Linked DNA regions of Lepisosteus oculatus. The protein of the gene in region 1 purifies or fractionates together with the protein of each later gene. This does not show direct contact. Links are inferred from orthologs where the notes say so. Each region holds a gene or a part of one and is shown on either strand. Other genes may lie near its edges.

Region 1 (16,683 bases):
CATAGTGTTTTCCCCAATTTCTCCCTCTAACTCAAGGTTTTACCAAGGACCCTGCGATGCCCAAAAGTCTCCTTACCTTGACTGCCTTGAAGTACTTGAGGTAGTTTCAGTGGTACTTGTTGCACCAATGGATTCCACGTCTGAGGTACTTGAAGACTGTGCCGATTTGTCAGTCCTGCTGCAAATTATCCAGGCAATAAAAAAGAAATGCAAAAACATAAGGACAATTTGCACGTATAAACCAAAAATGCATAGGAATGCCCCGTGACAAAGCCTACCTTTTAGAAGAAAGAAGGTCCAAGGTGTTGTTCTCCGACACTAAAATTTTTTCATTGCCCTGAAGCAAGGAAAAAAAACACAGTTCAAATAAGGACTTATAAACACAATCAAACTAAGCTGCTTTCATTACAAGCAAACTCCTGTGTGACAAACTTGAAAGCAGGAAAAGCACCACACCCACCTGGGCTGGCAGTGCGGATGACCGTCTGAGTTTTGCAGCCGTTTCAAGCGAGTGTCTGACATGCTTTCTTTTTCCCTTTCTAACGACTCCATTCATCATCTCACTGGAAAGACAGAACGAGAGGTCAGCTGACTTGATTGCCTGACCCTCCCAGAGTTCCACTTTCACTGATGCAGTCCTCACAGCAGAGCCACGACCCGGCTGACTTTTCACAGAAAGGAGAAAGCCAGTACTTCACAAATCACTGAAGAACATCTCAGGGACACCACCCTCCACAAAAGTTCCGGAGGAACCTGTCAATTTCACAATGACAAATCAAACTGTTTAACCACTGCGGGTCACAAAACAGAGTCACCTGCTCTTTGAGAACCTTCGCTTAGTGGTATGAATATCAGTAATACTTACATAGCCTCACTTTTCCTCATTTGCTTAGCACGTTTTAATTTTTAGGATCTTAGTTGTGAATCATTCATAAACATTCAAAAGTTGTCAGCACTTGTAGTTATGCTTATGGTTCGGGGGAAAAAGGCACGACAGGATCACGCAATGGTGATTACGCAGGCATGAGACCATTTAAATGAGTTCCTCTACCTTTAAGGCTACCCACTTCGACCTCCGTTTTAAACACGCATGTAACAGATGTATAACAAGGGGTCTCTCACCTGGTGTCGGGGATAGGCTTTGTGGACTTCCTGCCTTTAATTTTGATCTCATGGGAAGCCCGCTCAGGCTCTCGGTCAGCCCTTGAGTCAGTGTTCTGAGGAGCAGGTGGAAAGCGGATTCTCAGCCCAAACAAGTGTTTCTTTTTCTTTATTTCCTTTCCAGACATAAACCTTAAAATATCACAGTCACCAGTATAAGAGCACCATTCAGCCCACAGTTGCAATGACAAAACATATGAACACTTGTATTTACAACAATGCAACTTACATAGTCTTGTTTTTGTTCAGAGCTTCAAGAATACTTTCATATCGTTCAGATTTTGGCGTGTCACCAAGCTGCAAAAATTAAGGAAATTGTTCAGACTGTGTGCAGTTCATGGTTAATTACTTTTAACAAAATCTTTCAAAATGTTACACGTCAGGATATTTATAAATCTGCAAATGTACACTCAGTACTTTTAATTCATACTCACTAATATTAAATTTTAATGACACTAATAGAGGATGTTTGTTTAAAAACGACGCTATGGTCATCTGGTACATTAAAAAAGTAAACAAAACACATACAATACACTAAAAGAGCATTATAAACATATTGCATATATAAACATATACACAACAATAGTGTTATGAAAACATGCAAGAGATCTTAAGACCAAATACACGCCTAAAGCACAATATTCTATATTTTTGTAAATTGTTGGTTAAGTGGAAAAAAAATGCATTAAAAATAATCCTACATCTCCCAGCTGTAGTCTGTCCCAGTTTTCATTAATATACGCCATCAGTTCCAGCTCCGAATCAAAATACTTCTTCTTGTGAATAACACTCAGGTTGTACAGACTCAGGTGTGCTACATCTACCCTGTGGGGAGAGAGCAGGTCAACATGAAAATTAAGAACAGTGCTATACCCTTCAATGGAAAACAAGAGCTGTACCAGGATTGTCTCTATATATAATTGTCTTCTTCAGGTGCGTCTTTTTAGCATGGATTAAACCTATACTTGAATCTTTTTCTTGGCAATTTTTAAACTAGGCAGCCTAGCAATTGTTGGCCTGATCCCCGTATTTGAAAACTTTCAAAATCATCCAGTATACTGTAGGACCAGTTGAAACGAAAGTAGGTTGGCTAAATCAACAACCAAAGAAAGTCTACATTTGAAACGTTGCTGTACTCGTTATAAAGCTCACAATAAGTCAAACCATTTTAAGAAAAGAAGGCCCACACTGCTCCTGATCAAAAACCGTTTGCCCAATTAATTCCGAAATAATTGCAAACCTTAAAAGTATACATTCTACGATCAACATGATGAATGTGCAAGAAATTTTGTTTTTGTCATCAATGTGGCCTGTAACCCTAACTCTCATGAACTCCAAAATGGTGTAATTTTCTCAAGTCTATTAATACCATCTGACACAATGCTGTTTCTGTGTGTACCAAGATGGGTGCATGGCCACCATTTTGATCTTGCACTCAAACTCTCTCTTGCTTTGAGATATCCAACACAGTACGTCTTAAAGAAATATTTTAAATGAGCAACTATGTGAAATGTTCGAGTGCCGTATCGGGAGGCCTTTTAATAAATTATCAGACTTGGGGTTTTTGAGACCAGAATATATACATTTGTATGCGACTGGGATGAGATGACCTACTCTGAAAAACTATGAATAAAGTTTGGATACAACCACGCACACTAGTCCGTTCGATTACTGTAACAGCCATTTCATGTCATAACTGAAAATTGCAACTTACCACCTCAAAGGCAGACGTTTGAGGTACTCTGGTCCGGAATTGCAAACTGAACATATGAACACATAGAACCTAGAATAAAAAAGAATTAAAAATTATTTTAAGTAATGCCAGCAACACTTTGTAAATGTGTTTTTATGAAAGAAACAGATGCCATCTTACCTATCCCCATAAAGCATTGGCTTCTGGAAACACTGAATGCAAGCCTCATGAAACCACTGCTTACATTTACTGCACTGCAGCATCTTCAGATACCAGCTACAGAGAATGGAAATGTTCCAGTTAATTCAGCCTGGCATTAATCTGTTCAGGTTAGATACATAAGGAGATGAAAAGCACATCTTCAGAGTAATCTGCTCTTGGACAACTTTAACCCCTCAAGCAAGGGTTTAAACAAAAAAAAAAGCAACAATTTCCCCATTTCCTCGTGTCTGTCTTAAGCTAGTCGGTATGTGCAATAATAAATCAATACAGACTTGGTAAAGAAAAACACAATAGAGATCATTAAACCAGATGCTTTTCAGAATACTAGAAACCTGTTTTAGTGGGTTTATAAACAGGAAAAGAAGGCCCCATGCAGACAATTCTTCAGAAAGCAGCAGATTTTGATCTTCCTAAAACATCTGAGGTTTAGGTTAAAAATACAACAGGCCAGAAGAGAGCATTTAACTCTCATCCTATGTGATGTTAAGACTTAAAAGGTGTGAACCCACAGCTACACCTGTAGACACGCACTGAACACTGGGCGTAGCAGAGTTAAACATGCTGGGCACTCACTCTCCAGGGCCTCCACAGTAGCAGTAACATTGCTGGATATTTGTTTTATGGCCTTCGTCCCAGACAAGATCCTCTAACGTATATGGTAATGACTGTTTCATGACTTGCAGGGCTTTTGCATTCGGTCCTTTCTTTAGAGCACCTCCTCTCTGTATTAAAAATAAGAAAAAAAAAGTCATCAACACGACGCTAAGCTGGTAATTACAAAAGGAAAAGGACCGTCAAAAACTTTTTCTAAAATCGTACACAGATGTTCCAACGCAGACGTACATTTTCTATGGGACAAATAAAGGTTTATTAGTAAAGAAACACAACATTTCAGCTGTGGAGCTTTCTTCTGGTGTCACCACAGCCAAGACGTTGTTTCTTTTCTTCTCTTATCAGCATGGAATAAATCTTTACTTATTCCTTTGCAGCCTACACATGATGACACCGCTACCTACATTTTCTACATCTATGAGAACTTAGCTAATTCACTAGGACATGTTTAGCACTTGCTTGGGTGATGAACCAAATTTCATTAAACAACTTTCATTTAACTCATCGCCTTGGTCCAGATACGGCCCTTCAATCTATGACTGTACGAAGCCACCAGAAGCACAACCGCAGCTTTTCAGTAACACAGTAAGAGCAAATGCAATAATAACACGGAAGCAAAAATTCTAAAAGTATCGAACCTTTGTCGTAGTTGCAAACACACACTGCCGGCAAAGCCACTTGTCATCTGAAGCAATAACACTGCAGTCGATATTTGGTGCATGGCACAGCTGGTGATAACCTGCAACACACATGAAAAGGGCAACACACATGAAAACACATTCACTTTTCTCTTTTACTCATGGGAGAATATTGCTGCAGTCAAGGGTTACCTTGCCCACACTTATCACAGATGACAATCTCGTTTGGAGCTTCCGAGTTTTCTTCCTGACATATTGTACAGACCATCTCCCCTCCACTGCTGGCTCCTAAAAAACATGCAAGACAAAACATTGGGTATTTTTTTATGATCCTTTATATTTCTTTCACCTAAACGTAGAAAGAAACAAAACCAGTGGACTGACTACAAATAAGGACGCACAACCCAGAGCCGATTCCATGTCCAGCACTTCACTGCTGTGAGCCACAACAAATCCATGAAAAGCCACCAAACACGATGCTCTAACTACCTAAATGCAGGTCTGCTTTTGTCAGGGGAGAATCCCAACACGGCTTTAAGCACAAAACTTTAAGCAACATGAAGCACAGACAAGAAAAGCAAAATGAATGCGTTCAGAAACAAGATGCAGGCCACCAACTTGCTTGCAATTTAAAATGGGTTACGCATCTTAATTAAAAATAAAAATTCTTAATCAGACTAAGCATAAAAAACACAAACCAGCAAAGCAATGCAATCAGAACAAGGGTACAATCACGTAGGACTAGTGTTCTGGTGTACAAGGAGGTCTTGCTTAACTCTAAACCAAAGTGTGCTCATAGCCTACATGTGGGAAAGATCCACAGGCTGATGTGTGCATTTTTCACTGAAAAAAAAATTGCTTCTGAATATGACAGGTCAGCTGAATTTCAGCACCACTTTCACAGCAAGACTGGCTTTCCAATGCACAAAAGACATCTAATGATGTAAACCACAGAAAGGAAACGTAAAAAGATACATATTACATACATGAACACTGACACAGACTTAAAAATACCTTCCCTAATCATGCCACCGATGCCTTTCAGAGCTTACTGTTTGTGTAAGCCCAGAGACCCTGTAGTCTGTCAACTGCTCAGAGACAAAGTAAACATAACTTGACCTGAGCAATACAGGGAGAAAATTAATACAGAGAGAAGAGCGTCAAAAGAAATCTCAGCATAGAAAAGGAAAACGAGCTGAGTAAAATAAGTCTATCTAAAAAACGGAGGTTCTGTAGGTAGATCGTCCTGGGGTATTATCTGTGGAGAAAATAGAGAAGTATAAAGCAAAACTTAAAAGAGGAAAAGATGGTGAGCTTCCTAACACAGAAAAGCAGTGCTGACAACACGAAGAAGCACTCTGTTACTCTGACGTAATAATATTGAACCAATTAATAAACTACAGATGAAAACCAAGTCTACAGTGCAGTCCGCTTATATTTCAGTTCAAAGTTTAATTACGAGAGAAAAGTATGCAAAACCTTATCATATTTACACTCTTCTTTAAACCTCGAATTGAAAAGAATAAATCACGCTTAAAAACAGCCACCCCCCTGGGTTTCGAAGCCAAGGAATTTGGTTTGTGAGCTTTACCAAAATTAAAGTTCCATCTTCTCTTGTGCAGGACATTCCCATAAAGAAGCTTTAAAAACGCTGTCATTTACTGTTCATGGTGTTGAATTTTCCCATGAGTGTTTGCAGATGAAAGTTCACCGACCATGAGAACACTATGAGCTAACTCATTTGTCCCAAATGAGAAAATATGTTCCGTCTTGATCAGGGAACCTGGCTACTAGTTTTACGTTCATGATAACGATAAATACCGTGCTGTCCAATTCAGTGGACTCTTCGGATCTTTTAAGTTGGAAAAGGGGGAAACTTGCCAGTTTGTATGTCCTTCCAGAGAACCCAGGATTTCGAGCGGTCTTCGAAGACGACAAAGCAGCGGTGTTTGTGTTTGTTTATCTGGGGGGGGGAAATATCGACATGAGCATCTCACATAACCCTACAGTACTTTCCAGCATACTTCAAGAACACGAACGCATTTACTCAAAGCAAAAATCCCAAATTAGAAAAATCTGGATATTTTCAAGCACCCTTAAGAAGTGACCACTGATAGGCTTGCAGAGATCAGTTTGTTAAAATATCTATAGATTACCTTGGTGATAGTTCCGAGATAAAACAAGCCATCGGACCACCTGGCTAGGACATCTTGTCCCTCCTCAAATTTGCTTGCAAGCTTTTTTGTTCGCTGCCCATCCTTAAAAGACAGTTTAGCCCCGGTCACAGGCGTCTTATGGTTTCTGTTGGAATGTGCTTTTTTGTGGAGAGACAAATTCTCTACTTCCGTTGCGTCTCTGTCACAGAAGGGGAAGGAAAAATGTGTTGAGATTTAGGTCATTAGTTTTGTGGAGGTGCAAACAAAAAAAGCAAACACTGAGGTGTCAGGAATAAATGTCTCAAAACACTCGCAAGCAAAAATTACTTTTTAGTGTTTGTTTTGACCACCCAAACAAAAAGACCATCCATAAAACAGATAGGTTACTCGCACTCATTTTATAGCATCTTCCCCAGTAAGAACTACATTACTGACCAATAGCAATCCACTATTCACCAATGCTCTTTTATAATTTGTTAAAATGAGTAGATCACTTTAGAATCACAGAAAGCACATCTTGGAACTGTTGAATGTAACAAATGCCATGCCTGACACCAAGATCCCAGCGAGACACGATCTGTCAGAACACAACTCTCACCAGTTCCCTTCCTGCATGTGTGGACAAATTATATTTCACTAAGCAGCAAGAATTTGCATTCACTGGATCAACTGTGAAATTAAAACGTTTTAAATCACAAGCAGTGGCTCCAGGCGATTTAACTATTTTCTTCTACATATCAAAATTACAAATCTATCCTCTTGATCTGGAATTTCTAAACTTCTGAATTTTGCCTTTGCTTTCTCATGAAGCAAGAATAATTTCTATGTTCAAAGGATAGGTGAAATATTTAAAAGACCATCTTACTACTTACACGAGGGAAAAAAATATCCCAAGATGATGTAGGAATACTTCAGAAAGGAGTAAAAATATATATATTTCTATCCCACAGCCCCAATGACCCCATTGATGATCACACGAACTCCCTTTCCAATGAATTAACCATACCAGGCTACGCTATAATTTCTCATGACCATCTGTAATGTGGTCAGTGCTGAGCCTTCCTGTCCGGCGATATGCCACGGAGAACCTAACATTTCATTCGGCTTTATTATGTGGTGGACGTGCAGTACGGTGACCTCGATGCAAGAAAAGCTTAACGGCTGATTATTACACTCTCATTAGCCATCTTACATTCTGCATATATTTATACACGTGTATCGTAATTCTGTAATTTAAATAACTGGTTAAACTATATGCATTTGTGGAGAAATGCATCACGAACATCGTTAACACTTCGCTTTCCACGAGACTTCGTTTCCAACATGCGGCACGTTCAGCAGTCCCGACTTGCCGTTAATCAGATCTGGTCTTTATTGATACGTTTACACACGTACCGCATTTGCGAGGTGCTTTTACTCTTTTGTACGTGGGGGGGACACAACCCTTTTGTTGTGTATGCGAACAATGAAACGTCTATCTCCGGAGTTCTTCCACAACGCTTCGGCTTCACAAATGCAGTTAAATGTCCGCAAAGCGACAGCAGAGCAAAACCGTTGAACTCCGAAAAGCTACGTCAAATGCATCATTTTGTTTTAAATAAAAACAAGCAGCGCACTCCGCTGATAAAACGCAACCCACCCCCCTCCCCGTACTCCCAATAAAACATGAAACATATTTCACCTCATTCGGTCACTTCACCCGGTCAAAACGTTTCATACAGTAAAATATTCGGCCTTTGCGAAACTCCCGGTTCTCTCGTCCAAATAAAAAAAAAACTGCCTTCTACAACCGTGGAACCGCAGTCCCCTCCTTTTTGTTCAATGGTTTCCGGACTCGGGGAGAGAAAAAAAAAATGTTAAAAGATTACAAACGGTTCCCTCTCCCCCAACACGTTCGCCATTTTGGTTTCCCGCTGAGACTGGGGTGCATTCTGGGAAGCGCCCCGTGAGCAACAACATTCTGCGCCGCGTGCGGACGGCCGTGGTCTCGGGCCCGGCGGAGCGAAGGAGGGGGGGAGGGAGAGCGCGAGGGCCCTCTGCCTGCGCACACGCGGATGCGCGCGGCGGAGCTGCTCTGCTGCAGGCGGCCCCCTGGCGCCGCTGGTCTGGTCTGGTCTGGTCTGGGCCGGACCTGGGGCCCGACTCCGGCCTCTGCCGTGGGCGTGGGCGTGGGGGCCAAAGAGGAGGCGACCCGTGCCGCTCAGAGACGGCGTTGATCGCGTTTCTAACGGGCGCCGGTAGAGGGAACGGCGAGTTCTCTGCTACCGGTGCGCCCGACGTCGTGGTTGTAGCCCAGATTAAAAGCAGCCAGACGAACTGAATACCAGCTATACCGCATTAATAACACAGCGCGCCATTTTAAAATGTTTATATGCCTGATTCAGGTAAGGCTTTTAAAATTTAAAATTTAAAAAAAAGGCAACTTTATGACTTGTTGCAGACTAATCTGGGGGCGTAGTTTGCACTACCTTTACCGTTAAAACACTGAAGGCGACCAGTGATGTCGGTTTGGCAGGACTGGCCGCAATTAGCGGCTCGGACAGCCAGGGACTCTCCGGCTCAGCGTGCGGGGAAGGGTTGTATCGCCAGCCGACTGTCCTTAGCTGGTGTGGCAGAACTGCCCCAGTAGAGAGAGAGAGAGAGAGCGCGCCCCCTGCGGTCTTCTGTGCACTTGCAGGGGAGATGCGCCTCTCGTCCAGCAGGGGGCAGTGCTGCTGCCACATTCCAAAAATAGTGTGTGTTTCAGATTGATTGAATAGGAATTAGCCCGTCATTACTGTTTTGAGGAGAGCGATAGTACTATTGGTAATGAAAGCTAAAAGTAGAAATACGAGTTAGTGTTCTAACTGTAAGTTTTTGATTATTGCATGCTTCGGGGTGAGGGTTAATTAATTTAATGGTGCTGCGATACCAACAGTATCTTCTAATTACCACCTGAGGGCGCTGCTGTCAAAGCTTCAACTGCTCTCCTCTTGACTCCACCCCACTTGACTGAACACTGAATCTGGGGAGCTGCGTCAGCAGGCAAGTCAACTTGAACTCTGTGCTGCAAAGCAGGAGGAAAAGAAGTCCGATTTATCAGATGCTGAATTTTCTCCCCCGGAAATGAATCTCCAGCCGAAACGTTGTGTGTCCTCGTTATATTTCTATTCAAGCTGCTCCACCGCTCTGTCTTTCCAACGTGAAAGCACAGCACGTACATTCTGCTCTTTTCTGACGTTTCTTTTTTTTTGCAAAAGGGGGAGATTAAGATTAAGATGAAGCGCTCTGTGGTGCATTCATTTGCTTGGCTCAGCAGGAACAGGTATCCAGGGAAACATGAGATATTTTACACACGAGTTATCGCCAGCTGGGTTTATCACCTGAGAAAGGTGCTCTGACAGGTTTCACGCCCTGGCTGAACCCTCAGCGGTACGCCTGTGGCCAGCTCTCAGCAGCTGAGGTGCTGTGCTATTCCAGGGTGCTCCCGATGGCCCCCGAACTGCATCTCGCCTCCTCTGAGGGCCCAGCCGGTTTTACAGCTCGCAAGGAAAAGGGTCGCCGTGTCCAGTTGAGCGATCAATGGGCTCTATCAGGTGATCAAGTGAAGACGAGCCACAGGAACCTCGGGGCCCTCCAGGAATGAGCTGTGAGGAAGAGCTCCGGCGCGTCAGTGCTCTTACTCGCCAAGATCTCAGGACTTCTCCTCCGGGCCGAGATTTGTTTCAGAATCCCAGACTGGCCCAGCAGCACGTCGCCTAGATAATGAGCCGGGAGTCCTTGGGCATGACGGATATCCAGTTGTACCTGTCCCAAACCACCCAGGACCCCTGCTAACACCCTATTACAAGGAGGAGATATGGCCTACTCTGATCTGGATTGAACACCACAGGGAGGCCTCCTCTGGTCACACGTGTCTCTGTATGTGTGGAAAGGGGCATTTCCAGTGTGATAAAAATATCCTGTCTTCGCAGTTATGAGTGAAGTACGAGGGCTCTGCCCGTCGTTTCACAAAATCTTCATTTAGTTTCCTCTCGGTACACAACTGCGCTGCTGATCCGTATTTTTCTCATTGAAACGCGCGTGTTTTCCCCTCGTCGCTCCCAAACTCGCATGTAAAGCACACAGTTAACTTCTCGCTTGACCAACAACAACAACAACAACAACAAAAAAAAAACGTGTTAGCTACGGGTTGTTTTATTTTGGAAGCGCTGCTGTTCACGCCACGTCAAGCGCCCAGACTCCCCGCCCCCTACACACACACACTTGGAAGAAAAATGTTAAAAAGACACAATTTGTAACAACGCAGTAGCGACCCGCCCGCCCGTGTGAACCGGGCGCGTAACTGATGCGCGCAGCTAAAGCCATTTTGTGTCGGCGAAATCCCTTCCCTGCTCCTGCGCCTTTTATGCAGCACGCACGGAAGGCAGGGGTATCCAGCGGTGGACTCAGCCCACAGCAGCTGCAGCGCTCCAGGAGAGGAGCAGAGGAGAAGGTGCCGTATCTGTCGGCGGCCCGGGGCGCGTTTGCGAGGAGCTGTCCCACGGGAAACGGGAATGACTACTGGGTAACAGGACGGCACATGATACACTGCATTTCCGCAGCTCGCTGGTCACAGTAGCGGGGACGGACGGGCGGGGGGAGGCTCCATCATGCCGTCTTCTGGTCTAACTGGGGGGTCTTTCCGCAGGTTGATGTGGTGAGATGTGCTGTTTCTGCCATGGCGAGGGGGCTGTTTTCATGGGCCTGGCTGAAAAAGCCGTACTACATTCAGGTAGGCCACCCGGGGGGGGGCACTTGGCTAATTAACCTGCACGGTTTGCGGGGCAGGTCGCCGAGGAGAGCGGTGCGAGTCTGTGCGTCCGGTAGGGCTGACCGAGAGACACCGGCTGCCGTACGGCGAAGCCGCTGCGCCGAGCGGTGGCCTTAAACTTTTAAGCTCTTTACGTTCAAGCTAACGGATCCCTTCTGGTTGTCTTCTTGGCCTTTTACAAGTTGTTCGCCCTTTTTCCCTCCCTCCCCCACCAGACGTGGTAACGGTTCGTTTTACGCCGGAGGCTCGGCTTTCATGGGGTGTTACAAAGTGCTACACGCATGCGGAGGGCTCCTGAAAACAGCCGTCGTTTTCTCTTTGTTTTCTCTTCTCCTTTGAAGCCGGCGGGGAGGTCGGGGTAAGGCTGCTCGGGCTGGTTTGCTCAAGCGGGTCCCGGGAGTCTCGGCAGTATTACGGTCCGGCGCAGTCCTGGCAGGAGTGTCGCCGGTTGCTGTGGCAACAGCTCCACGGCCCCCCCAACACCCGCCTGTCATTCGCGAATGACAATAAATAGGAAATAAAGAATAAAGCGTGCGAAGCTGTGTCGGTTTAAAAGGCTAAATAGCATGCGTACAGTACATTTTTTGGTGATGCTACAGTGGTCGTCAGCCGGGGGACGGTCCCCGGAGACCCCACACACACACCTGACAGCCCGTACAGGGGGTCACGCCAGCACCTCCAACGATGAAGCCTTGCGTCTTTCCGTCTTAAAGATTTGGGGCTGCGGATAGTGTTCCGTGTTTTCATTTCGTCCTTAAGATGGGGGGGGGGCGGTCGCAGAGACCGGCCTCCGCACACGAGTGTCGGGAAGACGAGAGAGCTTCGAGGAACCCCTGGTCTGATAGTGTATGAATGGTCAATCTGCAGTTGACATGAGGGGATCGTCTGAAGTGGGGGCACACTGGAGCACGGGTGAGCGCTGCACCCTCCCAGTTCCCGGGGTGCAGTCTGCGTGGAGTTCGCATGTGCTCCCAGGGTCTGGTCTCCTCCCGCACTCCGGGCGTGGTAGCATAAGGGTGGGGTAGTTGGCTGCTGGCCTGTGGGTGTGATCTGCCGTGCTCTCGTTGGGCAGGATAGACGCTGGGTTCCCCACAGCCCTGCGCTGGATGAAGAAGTTAGAACGTACTGGACGCATGAATCGTTCACAACATCTATAGGATCACGGCGGTAGCGTTTGTGCTAAGCCTAACCTAAGATAAGCTCATTGCTCTTGATATTTGCAGATGCATTATTAACCTTTATCAATAAAGAACCTTTATTTTTGATAAACTGGCGATTTAATAGAATATTCATTAAACCTTCTTATATTCAATTTAGCCGGAAGCGTGACCGGATCTTACAGTAGATGGTTGTTAGTGCAGTGTAGCACATGCAATTTGTAAAGTGGCTTGTCAACAGAAACAGGGAAATGCTGTGTCCACTTCTTCGTCAAGGGTGTTGTAATCTAAAACCACATGGAACCAAAGAGCAGGGCTCCTCAGCGTTGTCAGCCTTTATAAACAGGGCAGTGCAAAACAGCCGCCACTTAATTGAGAAATAAAGTCAAAGTTAAAAGTAATTTTCGTATTTTATGAAGTGTACATTTGTGAAAATGAAAGTGTTTTTGCCGTTTAAACAGAACGAATGAATACATTATAAGTATTAAACTGGCAAGATAACTAGCCAGACGTGTATTTGAATACAGTGTCTTTCATGCGAGGAGTGTTCTTAAGTATAGAATGCGTTCCATGCTCAGAAAAATAATATAAGGAGTAATTTGAATATGTCCTTCCTTATTACTCTTGTAACTGAAATCTACTTTTAGTATAATTGTTTTTTTAAATACGCGTCTGTTCCTTATTTGGAGTTAAATGTGGAAATTATGGACTTTCACCACAGCCAAAGTGTTTTTACAGCTTAAACCTCCACCACAGCACCTCTGAGCTACGGCACTTGCGGGAAACGCTTTATTAAACGTTTATTATGCTAGGTTATTCCAGTGAACGAAAATAGCAGGAAGGGCTTTTGGTTTTGAGAGTTCTGTACAATCGAGAGGTGAAACGGTGCAACAGTGAGCAGAAACCTGCAGTAAAAACCAACGAGGAGCAAGAGGAGCAGGCCTGGCCGCAAGACGGATACCGTGTAACATCAGATCACTTCATTGTGCCATATACAGTTTCTTGCATTAGGAATTTGTCTTTTCGCGTACCCCAGCCTGCTCTCCGTGAGACACGCAGACAGGGAGAGAAGCTGGGGGTTAGAGCGTAGGGTCAGCCATTGTACAGGGCCCCTGGAGCAGCTGGGGTGAAGGGCCTTGCTCAGGGGCCCAGCGGAGTAGGATTCCTCTTTCGGCCGCAGGATTTGAACCGGCAGCCTTCCAGCCACAGGCGCAGACCCCTAGCCACAGTGGTACGGGCAGCTTAGTCAGTGCACTGTGTTGTGCCAGCCTTCAGTGTTGTGAAATGTTTTCAGGCATGAGTATTCTCTATATACCGCCCTAATGAGCCTGGTGCAATAATCACAGTCCGGTCCGGGCTGGATTTTCCATCCCATCCACGGTTGGAATGCTGTTTATTCCTGGTGAAATTTGCGCCAACCCCGAGCTTACCCTGGCCTCGCACGGCACGGCACAAGGCAGATGCCAGCGCGTTGCAGTGCGCACTCATGCAGCCCAGTGAGAAAGGCCAGTTACCCTCGACAGTGCGCCTCCGGGCAGTGGGAGGAAACTGGAGCACCCAGAGAAACGCCATACGCAAGCAAGGGGCAAGCATGTGCACTCCACACAGAAGGCACTGCAGTCTGGGCACAAGCCTGGGTTTTTTTTTCCTATTTTTACCTAATTTTTCTAAAATATTTTAGATTTTTCTTTTGCCCCCTCGCCAGCCCCCCCCCCCCCCAGTTCACACGTCTTCATTTCAGTTTTCTTTTTTTCCCGAAAGCCCTCAGATTTCTTCGTTCCAGAATTAAGCCTCTCTTGGCCTGTCCTCAGCAGCAGCTTTAAGATAAAACCACTCTGTGGAATTACTGTGAAGTAATTTTCCAAAGAGTCTGAATCGTAGGGCTAGGATTAGACAATTTTGGTGAAAGAAAGGTTTTTTTTTTTTAGTTTTCACCGGGAGCATGTTGAATTGCCAAATTTTATAGGCTTAGAACAGTGCATTGTATCTGTATCCTGAGCTCTGTGCCCTGCTCATGTGCCAGCTCAGAGGAATAGGGACCAAGGGCTAACTTATGCCAGCTTGGGCTTTTGTCAGGACAGGAGACTTTACTTCCTGTCTTCAGCAGGAGCAATGACGATGACGTTTATTTTTTATATGTTGCAAGTTAAGCAGCAATTATCATTTAAATGTGTAAACCATACCATAAGCTGTCTATACACCCGTGTTTCATTTTAATTGCTCGTAATGCGCTGTGGAGATTTATAGTTACCTACACAGCGCTTGTGCTCTTTTATAGTGTAGCATATAAACAGCACTGCTCAGGCTTATTGATGTTGCCTGCGAATATGTCAACCAACTTTACTGCCTTTGGCAGAAACTGCAATATGCAAACCAAATGTTGTGAGAGATTATTTTGTTTTCAGTCAGGTGGTTGTCAAAAAGGTATGTTTTAAAGCTGAAGTTTGGTTTCTCCTGTTTGTTTGTTTGTTTGTTTGTTTGTTTGTTTGTTTTTTCTATATACTTGAAACAGGCAGTTGGGACGTTTCATTGAATCCACACGGTAGAAATGAAGAATCATGCTGAGCATGTGTCTGCTGTAACCAGTGGCAAGAAGTGATTTAGCGATCGGCATCACTGTTTCCTTGGCTAAATGCTAATTAAAACAGGTTTCAAGGGAAAACCTGGATGTATATTTTAGAATTGTGCGGGGAGGGCGTTTTGATCGTCCTTTATGTGCAGGATATTACATATGGCTTTTTCATGCTTGGAACTCTACTGAAATCATTTTGTTTTGGCAGTCTCTTGTCTCTGGAGAAACGGTGATTAAAAAAGGTCTAATTAAGGGAAAAAAACGGCACTAAGATAGATGCATCAAGTGTGCCGTGTCTCTGTTTTGCACTCCTGTGAGCCAGTCAGTGTCCTGTTCATCTGTCTGAATGATTCCCGAGCCTGAGCATCACCAGGGCTCTTCTCCAGCCTGATCCCAGGCGAGCGGCTTGTTACAGGGGTTTCGGAAGCAGCTGACAGTCGTACTATTGTATCGGTCCTTTTCTACCGAAAACATCCTGATCCTCAGCGGCTGGCTGATCGCTGTTCCTGCTCCTGCTTGGAGAGATTAAGAAAGTCCAGATCGCTCTGCTTATGTATTCCGTGCACGGCTGGGTCAAAGTGCAGAACTGATGAAATGACAGAAACCCTCCCCTTGCCAACCTTCGCTCGACGTATAAAAACAATTGACTGGAAATTTACGACCAGAGCCTTGCCTGCTGCTGTCATGTGCTACTTCTTAGCTTTGATCAAGCTGTAGATATTTGTATGGACAAATAATAAATTAGTCATGGATTTATTACGAATATAAATTATGTCTAAGGTTTCCTAATGCATCCTTAGATATTCAGTAGTGATTAAGTCAGGGCTAGTATGACTACAACTGTGTATCAGTATCAGTACTTCCTCATATAAGTCAATCTGCAGCATTACCTTCTCAATAATGGTATGCCTCAGTCTGTCCTGTGCCATTCGTACGACCAGTTCAAGCAAATATTTTCATTTGGACAGCAGGAGGGGGTAGGCTACCTCTTGGGAAACTGAACTTTTTCTGTGTTACAGGCTCTTTGTATCACAATGCTGTGATTCGGTTTACACACACGTCGTGGGAACGGGGAATAATAGTTGGTCTGCACACAGATAAGAGGCAAATCGCTGAAATTTTCAGATCGTGACTTGAACTCTTCCCATGACAGAATGGGTGCAGGTTTAATATATGGCTATTAAGATTGAAAGTTGTTTTTTTTTGCCTTTAAAGTAGTGTTGTCTTGTTCCTGGAGGACGGGTGTGTCTGTAGGTTTTCTGTGTTTCCAGAACCTGACCTTTGGTCCAGTTAAACCCAAAATGAGCTCATTAAGAGTGGGGCTGGAATGAAAGCCAGCAGACACACTGGCCCCCCGCAGGACCACGGCTGGACACCCCTGCTTTGAGATGTGCCTGCCCTCGTGCCCTCTTGTTTTTCCTCGTTGCAAATACGGAGCCAGTGGCTTGAATGTAAACACAGGGCTGGAAAGTTGTTTCACCTCGGCCATTTGAAAAGGGAGGCAGGAATGTTTTTCAGTTTTGTTTTTTCGCCCCGCACCCTGCTTGTGGCTTTTATAACAGCTGGCTCGCAGCTTAGCACAGCGTGATCCCCGGCACGCGGGACTCTGCCGTTTCTGTGAGTGTGGTCGGGATGGGCTGCAGGCCTCTGCCCTGAGGACTTGCTGGCAGAACATGTGCT
Region 2 (16,683 bases), on another chromosome or scaffold:
GGAAAGCTAGACGAATCACCTGTGTTTTAGGTCTTAATCAAATGCTAATGAATGAGTTCCCATAAAGCCTTCAGGACTTTGACCCTCAGGGTTTAAGAGTTGTCAACTCTTTCTTTCACGGCAGGATACATTTTTAAAGTAAGATCAAGTGAAATAAGAAACAATGGGAGTACCAAATCCCTCAAGACTGGTGTACGTTGCACAGTGTAAAATGAGAAGGGTACAGAGAGCTCCCACCCACAGTCCTTGGACTCTACGTGCTGGGGTATGGTGTTGTGGAGCAGCAGGTCTGGCACTGTGGGCTGTGTGGATCAAAATTTGGACGTGTGCCTGTAGTGATTCGAATCTGGAGACTGACTGCACAAGCTACATAACATTAACATAAAAACACCACCCCAGGCTCCATTGTCAAGCAAGCCATTCAAAAAACACCTGTGTTGTGCCTTACTGCTCACAGCATAATCAGATTCTAGGGGATTATATGGAGAACAGTAGAACTTGCTCCTCTTCCTCACTGAAAGGACACGGGCACCCAAATGGTTCAACCAGAAAAGGTGGTCACCTTTGAGCTTTGTAATCGTGGGTTCAAGCCCACAGTTGACTGAGGATGGAGTGAGGGTGATCAGCCAGGAATCTCTCTGTGACACAGAGCCTTGCGGTCTTTCCCAGCACTAACAGGCCTGCGTGCTATTGGTGAAGGACACGCTGCTCCTCCAATCAGCACTGATTCTCCGATACAGGGTGGTGCTACATGTGATGTGTCAAACGATCATTGGCTTAAAGGTGAATGGGGCAGATGATTCTGTTTACACTTCCAAATTGTCCCCTGTGTGCAGTTGCAGCTGTGAGACTTGAAAACGCAAGTGGCTGACAGTCTCAGATCAGAAGGGAATTACAAAAACTAATTGGCAATTCTAAATTTAAAGGACACTGAGAGAAGACAGGGATGAATGTAGATTTTGGATTTCAAAAACGTTTATAATCCTGGTATTGGCTACAGGACTGAAGCACACTATGAGAAGGATGCCACAACCCTCTGTAAAGAAAAATGCAAAAAATATGATGAGGAACTGTCTTACTCAGAGTGTAGGCAAATCCCTGATTGATATATGAAGATGTTGGACTTGAGTGAAATGTCCCTAGATGACACAGCAGCCATTACCCTCATTTGAAACCAAACAAGGATAAATAAAAGTATCTGATAGGAAAAAGACGTTTTTCTTATCGTTGATAAACACAAATGCACTTGGAATTACCCCTATCTCGTCTCCAGGAATTCTTCCAATTCAAAATTGTGCTTTATTTCTAAGAAGAAAAAACAACATTTTCTGAGCAAGACTTAGCCATTCCTTTCTGTGAAAAAGACTCATACACCGGAAGAAAGGAAGTGTGGGAGTTTGGCTAAAGTCTGGTAAAAAGGTTAAAATTAATATCTTGCTGTTCCTTATTTGGCTAGATGTTTTGGTGAACAGGCATAAATGTCTGCTTTTAAGAAAATATTGTTAGAAACAGTAATATCCATTATCGTAAAATAAATAACACAGCGTTCATTGCCATGTGTAATGAACAAACTCCCTGCTAATCTCAATGAAGCCTAACAGCAGATAATATAGGTTCTCTACTAAGAGTTATCATGTTTTTAAGTTTTAAGATTTTGTAATGTATATATTACTTTGAATTTGTAATATATAGTGATCCACAGTGAAACTGCAATAGTCTAGGTTATTAATCAATACCTCAACGGGCACATCCAGACATCTGTTTTCTAATCACTTTTTCCAGTTCGGGGTCAGGGGGGAGCTGGAGCCTGTCTCAGCAAGAAACAGGCACAAGGCAGGGTACACCCTGAATGGGATGGCACTTTATTGCAGGGCAAACACAGACATGCACACACTCAAACCTAGGGCCAACTTTCCCACCAGCCAATTAGCCTATCTGTATGTTTTTGGAATGTGGAAGAGAACCACAACACCCAGAGGAAGCCCACCTGAACATGAACACAAAAAACCCCAAACAGACAGCAGTTCAGGTGTAGAATTGAACCAAGGGCCTCAGTGCTACAAGGCTGCAAAGGTAACCAAAGCATCGCTGGGCACATGAATAATATTATTTACATTTTAAATAGTGAGAAGAATTGTTCAGTGTTTGGCTAAAACATCCTGATAAGTTTTGGAATCCATCTAAGTAGGATGCCAGGACCAGAGGTGACAAAACAGCCCTAGAGTGTAACAGATTTCTGTTCTTTCCTGGTCATGACATTCTTTTTCAACATGAGCTTCACTTTTCCCTCCTAATTAGAACTCTGGTACAACTGTCCAGATATGTAGTTTGCGATTTATCCAACCGCATAATTTGGTATCGTTTGTCTTGGGAGTGAGTTAGTTGCTTCTACATATTGATAGAATTCTGTTGCAGAACCCCCGGTCATAAGGAGTCTTGGAGGCGTGGTAGCCTGATAAAGACTGTTCCCTAGGTTTTGCCCTTGGAGCCAACAGCACATTTTGGTAAAACTTAACTTACAACAGCTTCCTTTTGGGTCTGCTAATGAGACTTTCACTTCTGTGTTCAGCCTCCCTTAATACCTAGTGCCAATCATGGCGAATTCAGGAAGCTTCCATGAAATTTAAATTTCCACAAATCTCCTTAGTCTTTGTGAAACTACCAACAGACTGCAAACCACATAAAAGGAATAAATTTACAAAATGTATTGTCTAGGTATTTCAAGGCATGAATAAAAATGAACATTGTGAATGCTGAAATATAGTACTGTAATTATTTAATTTTAGTAATGGTTCCTGAGACCCTGTGTTGGAGGAGGGGAATTGTTTTCATATTTTTCCATGTCATACTCAGGAATGAGGGAAACTTCTGGAACACACTCTCATTTAAGTTTGAAAGCTATGTTTGTAAATGTTTTATTTGTTAAAATAAAAAAAGCAATAAATTAAAATGCAACATAAGCTTAAATTAGAGTTTGCTTTTTTTGTTATTAGAACAACATACAGAGACATTTCCTGCTCATACTGAACTATTAAACTACTATTTGTGTTAATATATATGTTGCTATCAGTACTAAAGACAATAACATCAATTTTCTTTCATTGCTGAAGTATTTAAAAGATGAAGTATGTGTGACAGTCACGGCTTCAAACTTGCTAATCATTTGTGTTCCAAGTTTTTCACCTTCCATTATAAGTAGATAAAAAAGCATTTAGTCTTAAAGCATTCATAATTAAATAAAAAATGTATGTCCAGATAATTGTTTTGTTACATTGTAATGTTATTTAGTGTGTTATACCCATTTACAGGTTGTCAATCGTTCTCCTACAGAAAGTGAAGTGTACAGCTCTACTGTTAGGCTATTTTGCTTTCTCCAAGTGAATTAAGATTAGTTTAGATTTCTTACTGAAGAAACATCTCATTGCTACTAGCTTCCCAGCACCCCCCCTTGTTAATGATCATGAATAAAAACAGAAAATTCAGTCCACCTTTGTGTACAAGTGGTGTCTTGGCATCGGCCTTTTCTTTAAATTCACAGGCATGTTGCGCTGTCAGGCACTGAGAATAATGCAAACTGAATGTTTGCCAAACTGAAAAAAGCAATTCCTAAAAACATTACGGCATGAAATGAAAAACAAAGCTGATGTAGAGAAAACCCACACTGTGACCTATGCCGTGAACTTGAGAGGAGGATGGTGGGCAAAAGGAAAAGAACTGGACACTGAAGTGCAATTAGAATCAAATGTGTCGGGCTGTCCAGTGTTGTTAATCAGCTTTGCAGTACCTGATTCTCTCTGTTTCAATTAAGAGAACTGAATTAAGAGATCCAATAGTTTTCTTTTATCGAAGCTCTTCTCCTGTGTGATACCCATTGGTGTGATATGTCTGACAAGAAAACAATTTAAATAGGCCTGTATAGCGGAATGGTACACCCTTTACGCCTTTCAGCAAAGCACACAAAACAAGTACAAGACACAAAGTAGAAGCTTTACCATTCATTGAGGAACACCTCAACAGCTGTATCACCCTGAAACTCACAACTCACAAGTGGCAACAGAGTGAGGCCCTAAGCAGGGGAGAACCTGGTCAGTACCTGGATGGGAGACCTCCTGGCAAAAAGGTTGCTGCTGGAAATTGTGTTAGTGGGGCCAGTAGGGGGTGCTCACCCTGCAGCCTGTGTAGGTCATCATGTTTCAGTATAGTAATGGGGACACTATACTGTAGAAAAGGCACCATCCTTCATATGAGACTTAAAAGAGAGGTCCTGACTCTCTGTGGTCATTAAACATCCCAGGATGTCTTTTGAAAAGAGTAAGGGTATTACCCCAGTGTCCTGGCCAAATTTCCGCCTGGCCTTTACCAATAATGGCCTCCTAATAATCCCCATCTATGAACTGGCGTCATAACTCTTTTCTCCTCCCCACTGATAGCTGTCCAGAAAAGCACTATATAAGTGTAAAGAATTATTATTAACCCATCAACATACACTATCATCTGCATCCTAGGGGGCACCACCTGTAATATATTAGATAAGGGGTCTCAAACTCAGTTCCTGGAGGGGCCTGTGTCTTCTGGTGTCTGGTCCATCTAAGCTCCCCATTCCAAGTTACACTGACACCCCGGAACTGGGCGCTAATGCCAGTGATTAAGCACAGGTGTAATAATAATAGGATTGCAAGAGAAGTAGCAGTTTTTAATTTTATCAACTCATTTTAAAGGCATCATTTCTATAGTTTTAAAGGTCTCTTTACTACCACTCCATCCCCATTACTGATAATGATATGCACTGTTTTGGCAGGGTTGCCAACCTGCAAGGTATTGTAGCCAACAGTTTCACCAAATAAAGGATACATATTCTTTAAAGAATTGTAGGTTTTCACTTGAGTTTCTAGTACTGAGTGTAACACCAGTTTGCCCCCAAATCAAAAAAGCATAAAGTGTTGTCATAGCTGTAGATGTGCAGAAGCAAATATCCAACTTCAGATCATATCCTACTTCAAAATATGGATTTTAGGACCTAATATTTTGGAGAGAAGGCAGCTCCAAACTCATGCAGCTTCCTGATGCTGATGCTCAGTTCTGCTCCATGTCTGCAGCTCTGCATGAGGAGTTCTGACTGACTTGTCCCCGTGGCCAGGCTGCACCCACTCCGCTAAGCAGAGTTACATCAAAAAAGAAAGCTGGAATCACTCTGGTAGGCACTTTAAGCTAAGGGGTGTTATCCAAAACTACAATGATAACACGTATGTGTAAAGAGACAGTCGCAAATCGGTCTTGATTACACTGATTGATTGGATCAACAGCAACATCCTGCTGGTGCAGTCAGGCTAGATGTATTCGGACTGAGCACACGGGTCATGTACACCAAGCACAGACCATCATTGCTCATCTTCAATACCAGGGGTCTCCTCCTAGCCCTGGCCTTGGAAAGACCCTTAAGATCCAGAAGGAAGAGTGGGTAACCACTAAAACACAGGTTTTGTATCATTTGGAAGAACTGAATTATGATCATTTAAGCAAGTGCTTTGTCAAATTTACTTATTTACAAATCACTGACAACACGATTCTGAATACCCTTCAGTTCTCTGTTGTAACTCTTCCCTTAATTGAGTGGCTTGCTTGCTTAATTGATCAATATCTTACTCTTGCACCTAATTGTTAAAAAAAGGAGTAATTTGTGGGTGATGCTTACGACTTACTAGAAAAAGGACTGGTTTGGGGTTGTAGACCCCAAAATGAATGTGAATACGTTGATCTCCAGAACTCCCACAGTAAAGGCATGAACTCTGGTCCCAACAACATTTTGTATATTGTTATTATTATGATTTTGATATTATATATATATTTTTTAAATTATTGCCTTGTCAACGTGACACACCTTTGTAATTGTTACCTCGGACATAGACAGATCAAACTGGGGTAAAGTTATTAGTGGTGTTCCACAGGAATCTGTACTAGGACCACTGTTCTTCTTGATTTTTTATTAGTAGCCTCGATTTTGATCTAGAATGAACAAATGTCTTCCCTTCATTTTAGTATGGAAGCAATAACGAAGTTAAACAGAATGTTAGAAGTTACATTGTAGAATTTAAATCAGTAGATGTTGTTCTAAAATTGAGCAATCTAGTAAGACCTCATTTAAAAATTTAGGTCACTAACTTTAAAAAAGATCTCGCTGCTCTGCAATCAGTCCAGAGAACAGCAACCAGATACAACTGTCTTGAAGGACAGTTCTACACTGACAAACTTAAGGAACAGACCCCTTTTGTCCTGAACAGAGGAGACTATGAGGGGACCTTATTCAAGTAATCAGTATCCTCAAGGGCTCAACTTAGTGAACTTCTTCAGAATGAACGGTGAAACATGAACCTGTGGACACAGGGAGGTACATTTAAAACTGAGAACAGTAGGTACTTCTTTCCACAAAGGGCAGTGGGGGTGTGGAACAACCCATTCACATTGTCGAAGCCAGTGCCCCGGATTCTCTGATGGGAATGAGATCCTTGGATCAGTTACAGCTACTAGCAACCAAACAAACTAGATAATGTCTCCTCGCGTTTGTAACTGGTCTTACTCTGTAATTGAGTTTTGCTGTAATACTCAACGCCCTTTCTTGAATAATTGTCTAGGTCTGTGGAACTCGTTCTCTCCAGTGACAGACAGAGAAAAATTACATTACTGTCTGCTGCTGTGCATTGCATGGTTTAATTGTATCATGTGCTGGGTATACTTGTGATTAGAATCTTCATGAGGGAGGGCGTACAGTATGTCAAGCACTCTACTCTTTTAACCCACGAACGGCTGCCGACGTTCCTCCTGGTCCTTGTGATTCATGTCGGACTTGGAATTAAATGATTAAATTGAGATAACGAGTTTGAAAGTCTTGGATCGATCATACAGTATTCTGCTCGTAAACGATTTAAGGGGAAACGCGATCATTTAATTGTATTTTTTTTTATTTTTAACCTTATCTTTGTTGGATTACCTGCAGACTTCCCATCTGGGTTCTGAGGTGGGCTGGAGTTATGCACCATTGATACAATCTTTTTAAGCAAGTCTAAAGGTTCATGAATCCACACTTTAAAAAAAAGATAGGTCAGACAGCCGTACTAACGAAAATAAAGCCTAACTTACAACGCCGCTGTTCACGGTTTACAAGAGTTCCCTAAAACGAAAAGAGAATACAGTGAGGTGTGTAACTAAATCAGGTTAATAACATTCCTCTCGAGTTTATTAAGTAAACAGAACACAGGGGGCGCTACTTTCATTACTGAGAGGTCTACGTCTGGCTTTAACTTCATACACCAAGCCGTAAAAATGCATCTTGGCCACCAATAACCATTATATCATGCTTGTAAGGTACAGCAACGGCAGTGTGTTTGTATATGTATACATGTGTGCTTTTAAATATGCAGATTCCTCCCCTCTGTACATACACAGAGCCCAGAGCCGGTGGCAGGGAAAATTGTGCTTCGAAGAACGAAGTCGGTTCATGATTTGTACCCGGTCCCTAATGAGCGAAGCCTTTTAAAGTTACCGCTGCGCTGCGCTGGGCTGCGATAGGCTGAGGCCGAGGAAGAAAGAGCATTGCTCAGTGCAGATTAGCAGTGCTGCTGGAGAGTTCAGTCATCTCGTCTGCGAGCTCCAGCCGAAACGTGACTGCGAACCTTTTATTTATTTTCTTATCTTTAAATCCCCTCCCCGAACAAGATGTAGCTTCCAGCAGTACGCAAACGCCCACTAGAATACGCTTCTTAATTTCGCGACACTCGGGGAGAGCGGATGACGTCCTATTTTTTTTGCTTACGAATGGAAGATATCGTGAATTATTATGAGTACGTTATATCGGAGCCCCCTTTTTCTGTGATTGTTTTTCCTGCGTCGTGGATTTCTAACTTGGGATTTACTATCAAATCGAGGCGAGTCCCTGCTCCGTGAAGGCAACGACAAGGAATAAATACGTACTCCCCAGATCTGCGTACCGGGGATTTAAATAGTCTTTGGCGTGTTCTTCAAGAAAAAGCATAAACGAGGAAAGGGAAAAATTCATGTGGCAATTCTCTGTTTAGCAAACACGACTTGGATCGCAGAATGAGCAAGGAACGACCCAAGAGGAATATTATTCAAAAGAAATATGTAAGTTCATTTTTTTTCTGCTGCTGTGCGAGGCAGTGTGGGGTTTTAAATTGACCTTAACAAGTTTCCATGTCCTCTCCGCTTGTTGTGATTAAAATGCATTGAGAACTTTGATCTCGGGCCGATTGGATTGAGTCCGCTGGCGTTTTGCACGTTTTTAGTTATGTAGAAACGTTCCCAGCCCTGGTTTCTAGGTAAAATGTTTTTATTTGCAAAGGGGGAGTTCATTTCGGGTTCTCCGGTGGCTGGGTCTACCGTGCAAATAAGGCAGCCTCGTAGGGGGATCACATTACAGCGTTGTATTTGTTTAGATGATTTTAATAATCAGGCGCGGCGTTACCTACAATAACATTTATTTTCCCAGCAATTGCCATCTGGAATGGCTTTGTTTGTTCCTCATATTCTCGTAATTTTGAGCCGTGCACAGACAGCCATAGCTGTAGGTTGCCTCTGGCTCTTTCCGGGTTTAGCATTGCCCGATGCCATTATCAATTTGTTAATAAACTATCATGTTGTCATCGATTTACTGTGGTTTCACAGATGTGCTCAAGGGTGGGAGCATTACCGGAGAGTTGTAGGTGATTTTTTTAGTTGCGATTAGCGAGGACCACGTTTGCAGAAGTCAAGGCCAGTAGACTGGAGCACGCACACACGGGCAGGGGCTGTTTGATCTTTAATTTCATCGCCGAGACTGGGGGAAAAAAAGGCCCGTTTTGCGTTTTGCCTTTAAATTCCCTGGCTGCCGTGTGGCAACACTGCAAACTTCGCAGCCGTGAATCCCCATGTTTCTGTTCCCGGCGATTTGCAAACCGGTTTTATGGTTGTGGAAATGCACTGTGCGAGTTGTTTTTGTTTCGTTTTGCACGTTTTCTCCGTGTGACCTCTGAGTGGTTGTGAGCAGTCGCCGCAGCCGGGGCTGGCTGCCACGATTATTTCAGGGTTTCTTGGTAAATTTCGTGAAGCACGGAGGGGATTTGGGTTTAATCGTTTTAAGAGATCCGCGTTAAAAACACGCCGCGATGTAACAGTAGCTTTGATTAAGGCGCAAAGGTGACATACTGGGGATCGTTTTAAGAAGGCAGTAATTCCAGTCGCATTGCAGAGGTTCATGTTGTGCGAGAGAACAGCAACCATTTTATCTTTGCAAGGAAGAATAAAAACTACGGATAATATAAACCTTGGGCTCAATCACTAGGAGTGTCGGAAGCAAATCCTTGGCACGACGTCCTGTAGTTATATTTTTTTCGGACGAAGTAGAAGGTTGGGGGCGAGTTAATGCTAAAAAATTAATAACAAAGGGGTTTCTCGTGTCGAGTTGCTAGGCACATTTCTGTAACCTTATTTAGCATTTTAACCCCTAACTTTCTGGACTTAAGTCAGGATTCTGTGTGGGTTTGGGGGTACTATATTCTGAAAATACTTCACTTTTATTCCCCCCTATTTATGTTTTCTTATAGGGCCACTTCTTTTGTCAGTAGTATAAATGTAACCATCATGAGGTACTGCAGGAAAGTAGCCAAGGTTTTTGGAGTTCACTGAAGTCACACGTTCCGTTCATTACTTAGCTGTGGCCCGAGAGCGTTTCTTTATTTTTTTTTCTTGAGCCACGACGCTAACTCTTCAGGGCAGACAGCATGGCCTCTCGGTTTTTTTTCTGCTTTTCAGACGTCTGTACAGACTACGTTTAAAGCAACAGGTCAATCCTATCAATTTCGCTGGGTCTGGGGACAGATCACATTTTCCGGTGTCGCGTTGGCGTTTGCGTGGCTTTTTTTGTTGCAAATGTTGGCATATGGAGAACTACATATTCCTCACTAGTAATATTGAGGAGGTATGATCATGGTTTATTGGCAATCGGGAGAGAGTTGTTTGTGGCTCAGCGTTTCAAGCAAATTTCCTTGTAGTATGGCATTTGTAGTCGTGTGCTGTCCATTTAAAAACTTCTCCCCAAAATAAACACAAATTTAATAAACCTCTACGGGCTACAAGCATGAGGAAATCATTTGTCTGAGGCTTTTAATACTTATGAATGAAGTCATGGTTTGGCTCGTGCGGGCATTTTTTTATTGCAACGATAATCACATACAGCATCAAGCAATAAAATCTCATTTTCCATATTTTTAAGTATTGTAGGAACATGAGTTTTGCTAAAATGTGAACTTACTCGACGTCTGAGTTGTAAAGCTGTAACAGGTGATTTCTTTAAGCACAAAAGACGAGTGACAATCGTTCATCGTTTTCTTTGTGAAGCGTAATGAGGTCTGTATTTTATTGGAAGGTATACATCGTCCCGAAGTTTTTCAGATTGCATCTGTTATGATACAGGCTAAAATAGGATTGGAGTTGTGATGACTGAGGAACAGCTCACGTTTTAACTACAATGTAGAAGCGAATTTGTCTGTCCCCTCTGTGCTGTCCCTTCGGAGGGGGGATGGGGGATGTGTTTGGGTCTAAAGTCTTGGAAAGACGTGCTCACGCACCTTGGTTAGACAGTATGAGTTTGCATAATAGGTTTGTGAAAAATAAACCAGAACGGCACTCTGACCAAAGAGGTATTTTGCACTACGAATAAAAGAGCACTACCTAAGTTAAAATCAGTTTTTCAGAAATCCTCCTTGTGGTTGTAGGTAGTGTTGCTGGAGTGGAAAACTCACTGCTCGAGTTGGAGGCTGGTGAGGTGATTATCAGATCGCCAGTTACACGCTTGCGCACACGGTGCACGTACGCGTACGAGTCCTGTGCCTCGTCCCTGTCCCTTGGATCGATTCTTGCACTGTATTTACAAGACACTGGCGGTGTGCTCTTCAGGCTGTTACACAGTCTGATCGTTCTTTGGTTTTATGCCAAAATGTTTTGAACAATCAGAAGCCACTTAAAGCCTGGAGATATAAAGGGGCTAACTGATGTTTTGAACGACTCGAACTTTCTCCGATATGGATGAAATACTTGTGGTGCTTTTAATTGGTAAGCTTGATTGGTGCGGTGATTTAGATAATAGCTCTAGATGTTGAGATCTGGGTTAGAGACATGGAGTGTTTTTTAGATGTTCCTTTACAGCAATTAAATAAATGGAAATTCCACAGCAGTAAGATTTGATCCTGACTTTTGATAACTGAATATGGTAACTTATCAATATGATATAATACGTGCTTAATTCCCAGCCCTGTCAAGTTGAGATTGCAATTTTGTGACCTTCCTCTTTTGTACACGGAAATGGTATCAGTCAAGCAGAGAACCGAGTACCAGTAGCCTGTTAAACCTATCAGAACTTACTATTGTTTAAATATTGTATTTTTTGCGTGGTGATGTCTGGGGTTGGTGCAGCAAGTGAGATATGAAGGGTCTGAATGTACACCTGTTTTAGCAAGCTAGTTAACCCATTGCTTTCCCACAGGATTTACTCTAAAATAATTTCTCCAGTTCCTTGTGATGGAGTCAGCCTGCAAAAATACAGTGTGATGCCTTATAAATGTGAGCCACTTTTGTTCTCCACTTCAAAAACCCAACAGAGGGCGTTTCGGACACCTGGGTTAGTGACGGGATCGACCTGTGTCGATATGAGTCCGGACCTGGGTGACATGACGGCAGACATCAGGTGTACCAGATACATCTCCTGAAGGGTTTTTCCTTCCCCGCTGTTGTTCTGTTCAGCATCCCTGTGAAGTTTTTTTTTTGTAGTTCTTTGGTGAGGAAGTTGCTGAATGTGTTTATTCTTTAGAAAATGGCGTGCAAAGGGGTTTGAAGTGTTTTCTTATTAAATCGGTGGGCGCCTTCTGTTGCAATGCATGTGTGAAGATCACGTTAAGGATCCAAGATGAATCCCTTATCCAATTTGTGTATCCCAGGCAGGGCAAACCCATGCCACTGTATCTAGGAGCCGTTGTGTGCACATCATCTGACTTGTTTTAATCATAAGACCAGTCATCTTGTATAATGTTTAGTCACCAAGGTCTGCAAGAAGAGTGGTTGCAGTAGGGATGAGTTGTGTAACAGTGCATCACAAACTTTCTAATAAGCCTTTTAAAACCGACACATCTACAGTTCTTGTATTTCAGTGCTGACCGACTGACCATCAGTAAGGATTTGGTTTTAAAGAGGTTAAAATGTGCTTCTGTATTCTTTTGACTGCCTCCCTTTAAAATTCACACCAGAACATTTGGGGACTTTTGGCAGCAGTAATGCAGTCCCGGAGAGCTGGTGTTCTGTAACTCAGCACGGCGGCTGTGTGTCTCGTGATAGTTAGAAACATGCTTGTACAGAAGGAAAAAAACCTAAAAAAATCTTGTTTCTTAAAAAAAAAAAATCTGTCTTGGAATTTGGTAAGGGGCGGAGCTTGTAAACAGCAGGTACGCGTTTGCCGTGGCCTGCTGTGTGGGTTAGGAGCACGGTTTGCACCTGGGAAAGCCACTGTGCACAATGAGCTTTAACTGGGGGGCACGTTTCCCCTTTCCCCCCTGCCTCACTCTGGCTGCAGCCTGCATGATTTGTGCCTCTTGTTGACCTTGACCCCAGTCCCCCCTCAGTGAAGGAAACCCCACCTCAGGCACAAAGGGTGTCCATCTGCGGGTGACATGTCAAACCTGGCGCATTGCATGCTGGGGCACCAGAATGTCACTTCGCAATTGGCCGAAAGTGCCTTATTTATAGAAATAGGACTTCAGGTTGAACTAACTCCCCTTTTGGTTGGAGCTTTCTTTGCAAAATTGGGATGTCCATGTCCTGAGAAGAGATGAACAACCATGTGCCTCCCAGCCCTGTTCTCGGTGCTTGCCTGTGTTTAGTCATCGTGTGCACCTATTCTGTTTTACTTCACAGCCATGCGCGTGTTTATCCTTCTTGTGGTTTCTCACACGGGAGTTCTTGTTTAAAACTGTATTGTGTGTTTGGCGGGGTGAGAATATTACCCACTTCTCTGCAAGATGCTTTGGCTGCTGTCAAGGGAAATCTCGTTGAATCTTACCAAGCAAAAGCAAAAAAAAAAAACCGAAGACATCCCAAGAGTCAGAGCTTAGACCAGGGGCTCCTGCCCTACTAATTTAACCTTTCCTTAATTAGCGTAAGACAATTATACATGCTTGGCTTAAGTATTTCCCCTCGAACAAGTTACCCTCCCCCACCCCCCCGCCACCCCCGGCACGAACCAGGGATGCTGCTGTTAAAATTCATCACTGAGGAACCCGAAAGCAAACACAGAAATATAATTACTGCTCCCTGATGGATAGACTTAAATATAACCTAGACAAAGCTATATCACTCCAGTATGTGGTAAAGAAGCCTGAACTTGCTTGAAGTGGTTTATGATTAATGGTTTCTTCCAATACACCAAACTTGTCAGCTTTTCAACAGCAGATCCTTGGTTTCAGTGTTTTTCTGAATTAAGAAGGGGAGGGAGGGGGAAGGGGGGGGGTGGTTGTGTTGCAGCAATTTTTATAAATTGTCATTTAGTTTAACAGAATGTGACAATAAGACCAGAGTTAACATGGATAATATTGCCATTTTGTGCAGAACAGGCTCCTATTTAGGCCCAGCTGGGGCTCAGCTCTAATTCATTGCTGTACGCTGGGATAAGCACAGCTGCTCTGGGGCCTTTACAAATGTAAAGAAGCTGTCAGTGTTTGTTTCATCAGGCGCACAACTGATGAGGCCAAGTTGAAGAATCCATTGCACTGTGTGGAGCACAAAGAGGAAACAAAACCGAGTGTGGCCGAGGCCTGTGAAGGATGACCGAGTCCTGCAGCTTCAAAATTGAAATGCGAGTCTGCGGTTGACCCCCGAGGTTGCCATGTTTTGTATCCAGACTCGCCTCGGCTTCATTCAACCTTATGTTTTAGTGGAAAACGGTCTTTAAAATTTACGTGTTTGACATGCTAGAATTCTGTGCTTAATTCTCGGGAGGCTGCAGTTTAAGTTGGAGAGTTTAATGGTCTCCAACAGGGGGGAGGGGCAGATGGGGCTTAGGTATGCCGAGGCTTGTATTTTTTTACCTTTTCTTGAAGGGAGAAAAAGGAATTTTACCTTTATAGTGACTAAACTACAGATTTTCTGTGGACATTAATCAAACATGGCAGGAAGGTGCGCTCTCTATGAGTGGGCCTACATAAGTAATTTTAAAGGAACGCTTTTAAGTTTAAGGCATGGCCAAAACTTGAAGTTAGTGTGTCTTCATCCAATTTGCAAGTGGTTCTTGGGGGGGAAAGTTAAATACTTCACGTCACTTACTGGACAAATCGCTGCAGATGTATACATTTGGCACATGTCTTAGCTTCTGTAGAAAAAATTTCTTCTAATCAGCCAGACATATGTATTTGTTTTGTATGTTTATTTATTCAGGCTTGAAAATATAACCATTTCTCCATAGTCTTAAATGGGTATGGAGTTGGAAGCTGTTTCACCCATTTATCTTATGAAGGGGCTGCTAATTTTTATACCTTAATGTTTTTTTTTACATAAAACCCTTGCGGTCTTTGTTTTTCAGGCTTTAAGCTTCACTGACCCTTTTGTTATCCTTCCTGAAGGAAAATAAATTTAGTGAGAGCTGTTCACTGGGGGCAGTTTTCTACTGTTGTTTCATGTAATAAGGAGAGGCTACTTAAATGGATGAAGTATTTTAAATACTGCATGTTTACTAGAGGGCAGACCAGACTTTTGCGAAATTATTTCAACTTTCCAGGAGTGTTGCACACAGTACGTCCGAACCTCCCTGTGCTTGACAGCAATGCAGTGAAGCCTGAAAAAAAAAAGGTTGAGAGGCATTAGATTGAAACCAAGTTGGCCCAAAGCTCTCGGCCAGCGATGGGGTCTTCTGTATTCCTTATGTGCTCCGCGCAGAGCCTGGTTGAGTTTTTGAGCTGGCGGTGATGGACATTGGGGTGAGATCAATAAAATCTAAACTCCTTACCTGAGAGCGTGGAGTTTTCTTGGACTGTGCAGAAAAGCAGTGGTTTTGTTTCATTTAGTCAGAAACAGCCTCTCCTTGTGTTTGCCAGCAGTTCACTTAGTTCTGTGCATCGTTACTGGGGCTCGCTGAGTGCAATTAAAGCTAATCACCAGCAGTCAGATCTGCCTTAACTATTTGCTGTTCCTGTGTAGCTCTTCCGCAGCAAGATGATAAAAGTTTACATAGCAGAGTCTGAAGGAAAGCATGTGTCAATACCACAGCTGTCTCCAGTTTGCAGCTTAAACCTGGCTCTCTTTCTTAATTACTTTCTGATGTGGGGGTGCATAGAAACAGAATGATTGTGTGCCATGATTAGGAATCGCTCCCTTTCAAAAGAACGTTTTCCACAGTCTGAACTGTTTTTGTACATTAGGCGGCAAATCAAAATTGTTCTGCTTTTGTCACATGGGGAAATCTGGGTTATTTCTGTTGACGCAGTAGGAGCTGTTGAGAAGCACAACCAAGGGCAATTCTGCCCCAGCGCAACACTGACTGACCTGGATTCTCAAGCCATGGCAGAAATAAAAATTCAAGTGTTGTGTAGCTTTTATCCTTTTCTGTTGTCTTTGCATTGTCTACCACAAATGAAGAAATCTAGATGTAACTGCAATGAGTTACTGCACTTCTTTTATAGCCTGTGTGATGACATTGTTTTCAGTGTTGATTTCAAATAAAGAGGCACAACGTCCTCATTCCCAGTTAAACTACAGGGAGGCACAGTGAAATCCTCTTACAGTTGCAGCTGGGTTAAGCCACTGGTAGGAAATTCTTCTGTCGGTATGTTCCAAATCGTTTAAAAATTGATTTTGGTTTTCTGTAAGACTGCTAGTGGCAGATTGATGGTGTATGAAAGAATTGAGCACTGAATTTGGAGTTTCAGAGACAGTTGTATTAGAAAGTGAATATTTTGAATCTACTATGGAGCCTTTTTGTGCTGCCTCCATCGAGGGGCAGAGAGGGGCTGACCTCTTAAAGAAGATGAGCATGTGAATAGCCTTGTTTTGGCCCAGCTGACTTTTTTTCATCAGTGGATGTTCCTCTTTCCAAAGTGCACGCATTGATCTTCACCTACCAGATGCAAACGGGACATCTAAAAGCAGTGGCTAGCATTGAACTTTCTCCCAGTGACCAAAATCACGTCAGGTAGCTGAAATTCTCTCATAAGTGATGGAATTTCCATACATGTTAGCTACCCCCACCACACTCCTTTCAGGAGATCCCAGAGTGCTTTTCATTTAGGAGAACAAATCCTGTACCCACCTCTGACGTGCATCCCCACGTGGGTGGCACACAGCAGCCGTTCTGTGCCTGAGGAGTGAGAAATTGATTCAACCTAAAGAGGAGCTTGATGGAGGCCACATTCGTTCATGCTCTTCCAAACAGATCTTTTAACAGCCATGTTGTCAGGAGCTTGTACAGCAGTGAGTCCCCTCTCATGTCACTGAGGCATTGGTTTGGAAATTATGGTTCCTAGGGAAGAGCGCCACCTACTGGTCGACCAGCACCACTAACAGCAACCTGGTCTCTTATTTTGTCTCAAGCAGCACATTTGTGCTTGGACTCTGTGCTTAAAACGTTCTTTAGTGGCCTGTGGAAAGACAGCTGATGTC

The links.
Region 2: the proteins of mtf2 (region 1) and jarid2a purify together in Homo sapiens (affinity purification with mass spectrometry; 3 studies listed by BioGRID and IntAct, with this or other methods). This does not show direct contact. The link is inferred for Lepisosteus oculatus from reciprocal best matches to the Homo sapiens genes MTF2 and JARID2.

The regions. Positions count from the first base shown.
Region 1 is NC_090704.1:1,841,677-1,858,359, reverse strand, and holds the start of mtf2 (metal-response element-binding transcription factor 2), read right to left. Parts: upstream 8,483-16,683; 5' UTR 8,169-8,482; coding exon 8,164-8,168; intron 6,682-8,163; coding exon 6,483-6,681; intron 6,290-6,482; coding exon 6,208-6,289; exon of another isoform or gene 6,148-6,207; intron 5,533-6,147; exon of another isoform or gene 5,354-5,532; coding exon of another isoform or gene 5,341-5,353; intron 4,615-5,340; coding exon 4,519-4,614; intron 4,428-4,518; coding exon 4,327-4,427; intron 3,799-4,326; coding exon 3,650-3,798; intron 3,131-3,649; coding exon 3,035-3,130; intron 2,945-3,034; coding exon 2,876-2,944; intron 2,330-2,875; exon of another isoform or gene 1,987-2,329; coding exon 1,863-1,986; exon of another isoform or gene 1,459-1,862; coding exon 1,391-1,458; exon of another isoform or gene 1,294-1,390; coding exon 1,123-1,293; exon of another isoform or gene 572-1,122; intron 564-571; coding exon 461-563; intron 338-460; coding exon 279-337; intron 179-278; coding exon 77-178; intron 1-76. Other genes in the region: dipk1aa (divergent protein kinase domain 1A), read left to right, coding at 10,810-11,028, 11,152-11,235. UniProt on the Homo sapiens protein: Polycomb group (PcG) protein that specifically binds histone H3 trimethylated at 'Lys-36' (H3K36me3) and recruits the PRC2 complex, thus enhancing PRC2 H3K27me3 methylation activity.
Region 2 is NC_090705.1:16,310,874-16,327,556, forward strand, and holds the start of jarid2a (protein Jumonji), read left to right. Parts: upstream 1-7,567; 5' UTR 7,568-8,091; coding exon 8,092-8,136; intron 8,137-16,683.